Oryctolagus cuniculus: one gene and its partner. The main gene of each other region encodes a partner of the protein of the gene in region 2 in a complex. Links are inferred from orthologs where the notes say so. Each region holds a gene or a part of one and is shown on either strand. Other genes may lie near its edges.

Region 1 (5,575 bases), on a different chromosome or scaffold from region 2:
CACCCGGATGTGGTCCTTTGGGCTGTGAACACCGCGTATGGCCTGAGCCGTTAGCAGCTCCCCGTGGAGCCTCTGCCCTGCACACAGCCGGCCCCGTGTTCCAGGCCCCACTGGTCCTCCTCCGGCCGCCGTCATGTATGGCCCAGGAAGTCAGGGCAGGCAGGGGGGAGTGCGTGGTCCTGGGGGCACGGGGGTCTCCCAGCCACAGACAGCTCACAGAAGCCAGCGGCAGCCTGAGGAAACTGAGGCAGCCTCCCCAGAGCAGGGAGGTGGCCGAGCAAAGCAGCCAGGCTGCGGTGACCAGTCCTGCCCCCTACCTGGTGCCCCGCCCCCTGCCGATGCTCCGCCTCCGTGCCTGGTTCCCAGCCCCTGTCTGATGCCCTGCTCACTGCCTAGTGCCCCGCCCCTGCCTGATGCCCCGCCCCCTGCCTGGCGCCCCGCCCTCAGCACACGCAGCCCCACCTTCCCTGGGCAGGGTACCCCCGGGGGCTGCGGGAACAGGGGTTCCCAGCCCAGCCACGGCCCCTGGGCGAGCCCCTCCCCTCTTCTCACACAGCCCACCTGGGGGTTTGTCCGCGGGGTCCTGGAACCGGAAGGAAGTTCTCTCAGGCCCGGCCAACTTCCGGTGGCGCCCACCTGTCCCAGAATCACAGTGACACGTGCCCTGTCCTCACTGCCCTGGGCCCCCAGCACACATGAGGTCAAGGGCATGGGACACCCACCAGGCCCCTGAGGTGTCCCCCACCAGCCTACGGAGCCGGGGTTCCACTGTCGGCAGCCACCGGGCCCAGCTACACCCCCAGGCCACCCCACCCCACCGTGACCAAAACGGAGCACCAGCCCATCTGGGCGTCAGGCTCTCATCCCTGCTCGGCTCCGTCGGCCACTGCAGCCTCACCCATCTACCTGCAAGGCTCCTCTCCCCTGTCAGCCCCTCCCCCCATCAAGCATCCCGGCCTGGGCTCCTGGGTGGGGCAGCACCTGTCTCAGGCCCTCCAGGGGAGGGGTCCTGGCTGCCCCCCCAGCCAGCACCTGGCCCAGCTCCTGCCACACAAAGGGGCCAGGAAATGTGAGACGCGTGACCAAGCCAAGGACAGGACAGGACAGGGCGGCCGGGTGACCGGCCTCGGACCGAGGGCTCCGCCTGGCAGGAAGCGTTCCTGGCACCGGGGACAGCGGGGAGCTCACCAGACGCCGGCTCTTCTGGCCCCTCCCACCCACAAAGGCCTCTCGGAGACCAGACGTCCAGCGGGACCTTGTGCCTGCAGCTCACACGTTGGCGTGGGACACAACCACGAGCACCCACCGGCCAGCAGGAAAACCATGGGAGGAGTCAGCCCGGGGAGGACACACCCACGCAGACAGCCCCCAGCCACCATCTGCACGGGGCAGGGGCAGGACTCAGACCGGCCCCACCTGGGTCCGGGCGAGCGCCTGCCCAGGACGCAGCCTCGGGTGCACGTGGGCCTGCATGACCTGCTTGGGGCCGATGAGGAGGGGCCGATGAGGGGCCAGCGCTGGCTGGGGCCTGGGGCCTGGGAGAAAGCACCCCTCGCTGTCCCATCAGTCCCCACTGCCTCACCAGACCCCAGCTGCGAGGGCAGGGCCGGGGAGTGGCAGGGCGGGTGGGTGCGAGCTGCCACGGTGGCTCCCGCGCTGGTCGCGCTGGTCTGGGGCCCAGCTGGTGACCTTTGCCGAGGCTGCTGGGGGCGGCAGCAACGGCTTTCCCTAGCACAGGAACTGGCTGCCGAGAATTCGGGTCCAGACCTTCAGGCCCACCCCTGGTCTGCCCTGGACAGCAAGAGGAGCAGAGCTCCGGTGCGTGCAGAGCCATCCGCCACTGCATCACCTCCACCGGGAGCCCTCGGGGATTACGACAGGCGCCTGAGCAGGGGGAAGGGGAGGTCTTGCTCCCAGACACGTGCTGCATGCCCACGCTCGGGGGACACTCGCCCGGCCAGCGGCTGGGGACGCGACGGTCTCGGGTGACCGGACCCAGGAAGCCGCAGCGCCCTCCTCCCACCCTCACCCCGCCCCCTCTCCCACCCGGCTCTGTCCCGCGGCCGGGGCTCCGGGCGCCGGGGGCGGGGCCGGGCCGGGGGCGGGGCCGCGCTGTCCTATAAGCGGCGCGGAGGGGGCGCGCGCCCGGCCAGAGAGCGAGCGCGCACAGCGGCGGCGGCGGCGGCGGCGACCCCTCCGTGCTACCGGCCAGGCCTCCCGCGCCCCGCGCCCCGCGCGTCCCGCTCGCCGCGCTCCGAGCCCGGGGCTCGCCGGCCCCCGCCGCCCTCCAGGCCCCGCGCCCGGCCCGGCCCCGCGCCCCGGCCCGCCCGCCGCCCAGGCCCGGCCCGCGCCCGCAGGCCGCCCGCCGCCCGCGCCGCCATGGGGGTGGAAGGCTGCACCAAGTGCATCAAGTACCTGCTGTTCGTCTTCAATTTCGTCTTCTGGGTGAGCAGCGGGGCGGGGGGCGGGGCGCGGCCCGCCGAGGGCAGGCGCGCAGGCCGCGCGCTAGGCCCCGCGGAGGGGGCGCGGGCGGCCGTCGAGTTGCGGAGCCACCTGTGGGCTCCGGGCGCGGGTGGGGGGCGTCCAGGGCCGCCGAAGCCCCTGGCGGCGGGCCCGGCGGCGGGGACCTCTGCGTGTCGGGGCCCAGCCCCGCGGCCCGGCGGAGCGTCTGGGTAGGGGGCGCGGGGCTCTGTCCGCTCTGTGCCCGGGACAGGTCGGCGCGCGTGGCCCGGAGCCGCGTCCCCAGCCGCAGTGCCCGGGACCACCCGGCGTGGCGCGGGCGGAGGGGCTTGCCCCGCCCCCATGAGCTCATCGGGGCCACCGCCCCGGAATGGGCCGCGAGGGGAGGGGGCGCACGCTCTGGGCCGGCGCCTGGGGCCCTTCTTCCGCGCCGCGCCCTGAGGGCAAGTCGCCCTCTGGTCCCTGGGGGCAGCGCACCGGGGTTCCTGGGGGCCCAGCGCCCCTCTTCGCTGGCGCTGCGCGTCCGGTCCCGCCTGGCCCCGGGGGGCTGTGGACGCTCGGGGCGGGGAGGGCCCGCGTTGGGGCGGAGGGCGGCACGGGTGCGGGCTGGGGCTCCCCGCTCTGCAGGGAGGGGTCGGCGCGGGCTGGTCCTGGGGGAACTTTCTTGGCTGCCGGGGAGGCGGCCCGTGATGTTTTCGCCTTTTGTTTCCATTTCCTGTCGGCCCTGGAATTGGGGGTGGGGGGTGGAGAGGCCGAGCGCGGTGGGGGGGGGCCAGACGGCCGGCCCCTGCCCCTGCCCCTGCCCCTGCCCCCCGGGTCTGGCCCTTCCTGCAGGGCACTGGGCGCCGTCCTGGCAGGCTCCGCACTCCCCAAGTTGAGGCAGGAGGGTCAACTTTTAGCGCGGGCCCCGGGACATCTGCTTCGCATCTGGACAGCTGCCGGGCCAGCGAGGACCTCGGGCAGGGAGAACAGAGACAGGGCTGCCGGCTCCGGGGACACTGCGCTCCCGCGTGGGGTGGCGGTGAGGCCATCTGGCCGGCCCAGCCTGGCCCTGGGGCCTTGGCCAAAGAGGAGGTGGCATCTGTGTGGGTCAGTGTTTGCCTGCCAGGGCCCAGACGCGTAGGAGGTGACGGGCACAGGGGGCGTCCCTCTGCTGGCCCGGGGAGGGGGGTGACGGGATGGGGGCGGGGCCTCCTCCTGGAGATGTTTGTGCCTTGGGCTGTGCAGCAGTGCCAGCAGCTGGGAGATCTCCGGGGGCGCGCCCCCCAGGGAGCTGGGCCGCTTCCCGGTTGGTGGAGGCTGGAGCACACCCCCCGGGGCGCTGGTTCCGAGGCCCCTCCCGCCCGGCCTGTCCCGGGGGCCCCCACCGGCCTGTCCCCGGGGCCCCCACCCGGCTCCCTGCACTGCAGAGCCCCCTCTGAGCGGGGTCTTCGTGGACTTCCTGGTGGCTGGCAGGCTGCTCGTGTGAGTGAGGGGCTTGGCGCAGGGACGGCTCCGGAAAAGGAGGCTGGGCATGGCAGCCGCCGTGAAGCTCGGCCAAGGAGAGCCGGGCCGGGCCTGGCCCAGGAGGAAATGCCTGGGCGCGGGGGTGCCCGCCCCACGGGGCCTGTTGTGGATGGAGGGCCCTGGGGGCTTGCGGGGGTGTGGCGGGACAGGTGGGCACTGCACGTCTGGATGGGCGCTTTGTAAGATGTTTATTGGGAAGTCAAAGAGGCAGAGAGAGACGCCCGTCCTCTGATTCGCTCCTCAGACGCCTGCAGGGGTCACGCCAGGCTGAAGCTGGGGAAGCCCAGTCCAGGGCCCCGCACCTGCTGCCCTCCCAGGGTGCAGCTCGGCAGGCAGCTGGAGCCGGCTCTCAACCCAGGGCTCCCACATGGGCTGCGGGCGCCCCGGGCGGCATTGTCAGCCTTGTGCCAGGTGCCGGCCCCTGCGTGGGGCACTTTTTAAAAGTCCCATTTCAGGAGCCGCCTCGAGGGGGGAGGCAGCCGTGGGAGCCTGGCAGCCCCGGGGAGGAAGGTGTCCCACAGGTGCTCGTCTTCCTCCCATCGCTGGCCATGTGCAGTGAGGCGTCCTGGCCAGCGAGGTCGTGGGCTCCCCGGCGGCCCGAGCAGAGAGCACCGTGCGGATGCCCTTGGGCTGGGTCCCGGAGCTCCTGGGATGGGGCAGGGGTGCGTAGAGCTGGCCTGCACGGCAGGTGTGACGGTGGCCAGGTGTCCTGAGAGGTACAGCCGGTGGCTGCCTTCCAGTGGCAGATGAAGCCCTGGGAACAGGCGCTCGATTTACTTCTGCCAGATGGCACGTGACCGTCCGTCACCCCGCCAGCGCATCTGCTCCCTGCCTCGGACGGCGACCCCAGCAGGCTGTGTCGGGGGGACTCGGCACGGGGGCGACTGGACTCCCCCAGTGCCCCCACACCGACCCCACGCCGGGGAGACAGCCATTCGGCCCGGCCTGCAGAGGAGAGAGTGCATGGTTGCGCCTGCGTTGGGTCCTCAGCCGGGGAGGGCGGCAGGGCCCTGGGTACCACGGCAGGTGGCCCAGAGCCCTGCCCTCATGCTTTGCTGAGCCTGCTGGGCCTTCTCCTGGCTTTGCCACCGTGTGCGGGTCGCTGGGCAGACCCCAGCCCCGTTTCTGCTCCGAAACGCCATCCCAGGGGAGAGCTTTGGTGGTGAAATCAATAAGGCATAGAGTCCAGGCACCGTGGGAGGGGCGCCCTCGCCCAAGCGGCTGATTCGGGGAGGACCCTGGGTGGGGGCAGGCAGGTGGCCCTTGCTCCGGCCCTGACCCCTGTGCCCCGGCCAGTGAGCGGTGAGGACCGGGTGATCTTCAGCCCCGGACACCCACCTCTTCTGCCCCCAGAACTGGGCTCGCCCGGAACGCACCCTCCGAGGCCCACACCTGTCCAGTGGGATGTGGTGTGACCCAGGGTGCCTTCCAAAAATCTGTGTGGTTTCCCGGGCACCCCCAGCACCGTGCACATCCTCGGTACTGCCCGGCCCAGTCAGAACTCTCCCCCTGGGGCATCCAGTGGGCAGTGGGACGTCCGGCCCGGGCCTCGGGCGGCCTCCACTGGCTGCCAGTGTTGTGGCCATGGGGGTGGCTGGGACGGCTGTGG
Region 2 (4,810 bases):
ACGTCCCAGCCCCTGCCCCAGCCCCAGGGAGGCCTTCGCCTGCCTCCCACTGCCCAGCTCAGATCTTCAGCCCCCGCCCCTTGCCCCCCACAGCTCCGGGCTGTGCACATGTGTCTGTGTGCACGTCCTATGGGGTATGTGTGTGTACATGCGTGTGTGTGCACATGCCTACAGTGCGTGTGTGTGTGCATACGTGTGTGTGCACGTCCTACGGGGGTATGTGTGTGCATGCATGTGTGTGCTCATGCCTATGGGGTATGTGTGTGTGCACAAGTGTGTGTGCACGTGCCTACAGGGGTATATGTGTGTGCACGCGTGTGCTCACCTATGGGCGAGGCTGGACGAGGGCCTCCGGGCCGCCTTCTGGGGATGCCTGAGGAGCTGGCTGAGCAGCTGCAGGTCCCGTTTCAGCTCACACATGTCCCCCGAGGCATTGTGGGAGGCTTTCTGGGGAGGGTCTGGGGAGAGCATGGACACACGTGAGCCGGGCCAGGGCGGCACAGGCCCCCGACCCACTCCGCTTCTACTTAATCCTCGCCTGACCCCCAGTGTCCTCTCTCCCCTCTCTACAGGAGGGGAAACTGAGGCTGCGAGAAGCAAAAACAGACACACCCCCAGGGTCAGCGGTGAGGCCAGCCAGAGGGGTCCCTGGCTGACAGAAGCCCCAGTGGGGCGGGTGGGCCCTGCCTGCCCTGCACCCCCTGGCTGCACACGGCGAGCCCAGCCTCCTGCAGGTTCCAGGAATCCCAGAACCCCAGCCTGCTTTCCTGCCTTTTAGCCTCTCTCACTCCCCTCCTGCCCCTCCCCACGCCAACCAGCCGCTGGGTTCAAATCCCCGCTCCTCCGTCAGCCAGCTGGGCAACTCTGGGCCACCTCCTGGGCCTCAGTTTGCTCCTCTGTGGAATGGGGATAAACCGTCCTGGCAGAGGCTGATGGCGACTTCCCAGGACCAACGCCACACAGTCCCACCTTTCGCTCTCCCTGCCTCTTCCCCTGGGGGCCTCCAGGTGGGCTTGGAGCCCCTCCACCCTTACCCCAGGGCCTCCTGAAGCACACCTTGGGTCACACCCCCCCACCCCCACTCCCACCCCCAGCGGCTCCCCACTGCCTGGGCCCGAGCTGCTCACCATGGAACCTGAAGGTAAAGGTGGCAGCCCTGGGCAAGCTGGCATTCTGGGGGTCCCACCACGACCTGACGGAGGTGGCGAGCAGCGGGGGGCCCGGGCCCGGGCTTGTCTCCTGGTGCCGGAAGCAGAGGAGGCCCGAGGCCTCGCGGCTCAGCGGGTAGTCCTGTCTGCCGTAGCGCAGGTGCAGACTGCCGTTGTGCCGGTTCCAGTAGAGGCAGAAGTGGTAGAGGCCCCGGGGTGGGGGGAAGGGCCGAGAGGCATCGGGGTATGCCGGGAAGGGGGCGTGGATGGTGAGGGCCTCCTCCGAGTTCCTGATGGAGATGTGCAGCTCCCGGGTCTGCTCGTAATGCAGGTGGCTCCTGTGCGTCTGGTTCCGCTGGCCGCAGAAGCGGAAGTCCTCCCGGGGGCCCCCGCCGTGGGCACCTGAGGAGGCAGAAGCGGCAGGTGGGGCCTGGCGGGAGGGCACGGGCCCTGGGCCTGGGCCTCGCACACCACGAGGGCCTACACCTCACAGGGTCTACAAAACCGTGAGCCTCCATCCTGCTCAAGACTCGCTGGCTTCGAGATGGGAGAGGAAATGAGCAAACTGGGAATGAATGACTTTAAAGGCAGAATTTTTAATAGCAACGAAGTATTTAATGAAGCCACGGCCACCTTAGACAGTGGTACAGGCTGTGCACTGCACAAGGACGCTCACTCCAGAGGCAAGCATGGCCGAAACTGGTGTTGCTGTGCATTGTGGGGCTGCACCTGCCAGAGAAAAGGAGGGAAGAGGCGCCTTCTTTTCTCCAAGGTGCCGCCCTCTGGCTGAGCTGTGCCTGCAGGCCTGGGCCTGGCCAGCAGGTTAGCATCTGTGCTGGCCGGTGGTGGGATTCAAGGGGCATCCTAGACATGGGGGCATCTTAGCCTAAGTCACCACAGCGGCCCCGGGGCACCATGGGAAGGCAGACCTTGAACCAGACAGAGCACACTCAGCACGAACAGCGCCTTCCACAGCGGCACCTGGGCAGCCATCTTCGCGCCTGGCGGTCCCGGCCTGGAACAGAGCAGGAGCAGCGTTAGCTGGGAGCCTGCGGCTCAGCCCTGCGGTGAGGGAGGGAGGCGCGGCGCGGACGTGAGACCCGAGGCTGGGGCGGGCCGGGCACTCGTGTAGAAACAGCCCAGACTCCCCAGAGCCGCCAGAGGCTGAGCACCGACAGGTGAGAGTGCCCGAGTCCCAGCGTCACCTGTCGCGACTCCACAGCCCCGTGGAAGTCACCCCAAACCCAGCAAGTGTTTCTGGGCCCAGAAGAGACCGTGACCCTATCTGGAACTGGGCGCCGACCGTTCCCCCTGGAACCACCCCTCGCCCCCTCCCGAGACCTAGCTCAGAGTGCGACACCCTCTCCAGGAAGCCCGCCCCAACTCCCTCAGAGTCACTCCCAGCCTCCCTTGGATCCCGCCTCGGCCAGGACCCCTCTGTCAGCCCGCCAGGGAGCTCCCGGTCCATCCCTGCCGACACAGGCTGGAGGGGTGGACAGGGGCAGGCAATGAAGGGCCAGCGTGTCCATGGAGCCCTCTGCAGGGGCTAGAGGGAAAGGTCACTTCCCGTCATGGCCGCCAGGGGGAGGCAGTTGCCAGGGCCCGGAGCACAGCAGGCCGTGGCCGACTGGGGGCTCAGCTCCTCCCACAGCGACCTCAGCTTTGAGGGGCCCCCTGCGCTCAGCCTCCACCAGCTGAGCTGAGTGCCTGCCACCCGCCAGCCTCTGCGCCGAGCCACTCCGCCCCTGCAGCAGCATTGGTTCTCACTCCTTCAATGTGGACACAACTGTGGGTCCATTTCACAGATGGAGAACCTGAGGCCCAAGGGGTCAAATGACTCATCAGAGGCCAGGGATTTTCCCTCCTAGGTCAGGACTGCAGTGCCTGGCACTCACAGATGCCAGGCCCTCCCACCAGCTGGCCCAGTGACTGAGTTGTGCCGACAGACCCAGGCAGCCATCCCCATCCTGTGAGAAGCCGCGTCTGACCACAGTGACAGATGCAATCATCTGCCACAAAACCAGATGAAGGAAAGCCTGGCACCCCCTGTGACACATGAGTTCCGGAGAAATCAAGGAGGGCTTCCAGGGAGAGGTGACTTTTGAAGTACACAGCATTAGAGAGAAAGGAGCTCCAGGCAGGAGCTCGTGACCTCCTTTCCTGAACCAGGTCTCCCTCGAGCCAACCTGGCCCTCAAGTAAGAGCCGGGCCCCAGTGTCCCTCCCTGAGGAATCCCAATTGCTGGGACTTCATCAGTGCAACCAGAGAGGGCAATGGCCTGGTGGCATCCCGGGACCCCCGAGGAGGTGACATGAAAGCGCTCTGGGGAGGGGCCGCTGTGGCTCAGGCTGTGGTAGCCAGGGTTTCGCTTGTGTCTCCCGTAAGCATCTTGATTCCTTCTGCAACCGCCCCCACCACCTCAGACCAGCACCTGGGGCCAGGGGACGAGGCCCTGCCAGCCCCTGTGGCCGGCCCCGCCGATCCTCAGTCCAGTGCCACCTCTTCCAGGCAGCCCCCTGGCTGTGACCCCTGCCTCTGGCCTCAGGTCCCCATTTCCTGGTGTCTAGGTCGAGGCAGAGGACCAGAGACTTCCTGATGTCCCCCAGCAGGCGGGGTGGGGGGGTTGGCTGGAACTCAGGGGCCTCTCTGGCCCCCTGCCCTGAGATGTGAGCCACTGTTCCTGGAAGCAAGGCCTTGCATCAGCCCCCTGGACTGGCCCTTGAGAACACAGGAGGCGAGAACAGGGAGTGAGCGCCCCGTCACTAGATGGACACAGGGACGCTGCACCACCTCACTCCACGCCCCCAGCCATCTGAGCAGTCACTCTGGCCCCATCAGCATTCTGGGGGAGGGGGTGAGAGGGCGGGGCCTGGCTCCCCTGACCCCACCTCTGGCCAGTGGAGCGCACTCTGGAGCCAGACGGCCCAGGTTCACAGCCAGGTCCCCCTGTCTACTGGCTGTGTGTCCTTGGGCTGGTTACTCACCTGCTCTGGGCCTCACTTCCCTCCCTGGGGCAAAGGAACAAAAGTGAAGCAGAGGGCCATCAGATGAATTGAAACCTCTAAGGGCTTCAAGCAGGGGCCTTGGGGTCAGCTGCCCTGCCCCGCCCCGCGCCAGCTCACCCTCCTCGGCACCTCCAGGGGAAATTCTTCCAGTGTCCTTTCCTTTCCCGGTGTGCAACGGGAAGGCCCTGCCCCGCCAGGAACACTTCCCGGCCCTGAAGGGGCGGGGGACGGGGAGCGGATTCTGACCCAGACTGGGGGGGCTGTCTTGCCTGTTCCCTTAGCTCCACCCAGCTCTGCCCCCCCAAGCACACACAGCTGCCGCCGCCGCCCACACAGCACGCAGGGGCTGTGTCAGTGGTGGAGGCCACCCAGCCCACCCAGCACCTCTGTGGGCCCAGCTCACCGCCCCAGGGCCCAGCCAGGAAGGAGGGGCCGGGCTAAGGAGGCCGAGCCCCAGAGGGTCCCTGTGGACTCAGGGACCTGCGTCCGCCCGGAGCTGCAGTGTCACCACCGAGCTACCCGGCCTCAGCCACCAAGAGTGTCCCCTTTGTCATCCTGTGCACCGTCTTACAGATCTGGAAACTGAGGCTGGAGCCCACGGCACCCAGCGAGTGTGACATGGAGCCCCCGGCCCTGGCCTCGGGGGTTCCCTCCAGG

The links.
Region 1: ADGRG1 (region 2) and CD81 share a complex: the UniProt entries of both Homo sapiens proteins name them as parts of the GPCR-tetraspanin complex. The link is inferred for Oryctolagus cuniculus from reciprocal best matches to the Homo sapiens genes ADGRG1 and CD81.

Annotation. Positions count from the first base shown.
Region 1 is NC_091432.1:1,171,904-1,177,478, reverse strand, and holds the start of CD81 (CD81 antigen), read left to right. Parts: upstream 1-2,152; 5' UTR 2,153-2,379; coding exon 2,380-2,445; intron 2,446-3,664; exon of another isoform or gene 3,665-3,924; intron 3,925-5,575. UniProt on the Homo sapiens protein: Structural component of specialized membrane microdomains known as tetraspanin-enriched microdomains (TERMs), which act as platforms for receptor clustering and signaling.
Region 2 is NC_091449.1:41,137,279-41,142,088, reverse strand, and holds part of ADGRG1 (adhesion G-protein coupled receptor G1), read right to left. Parts: intron 2,164-4,810; coding exon 2,078-2,163; intron 1,551-2,077; coding exon 1,128-1,550; intron 459-1,127; coding exon 326-458; intron 1-325. UniProt on the Homo sapiens protein: Adhesion G-protein coupled receptor (aGPCR) for steroid hormone 17alpha-hydroxypregnenolone (17-OH), which is involved in cell adhesion and cell-cell interactions.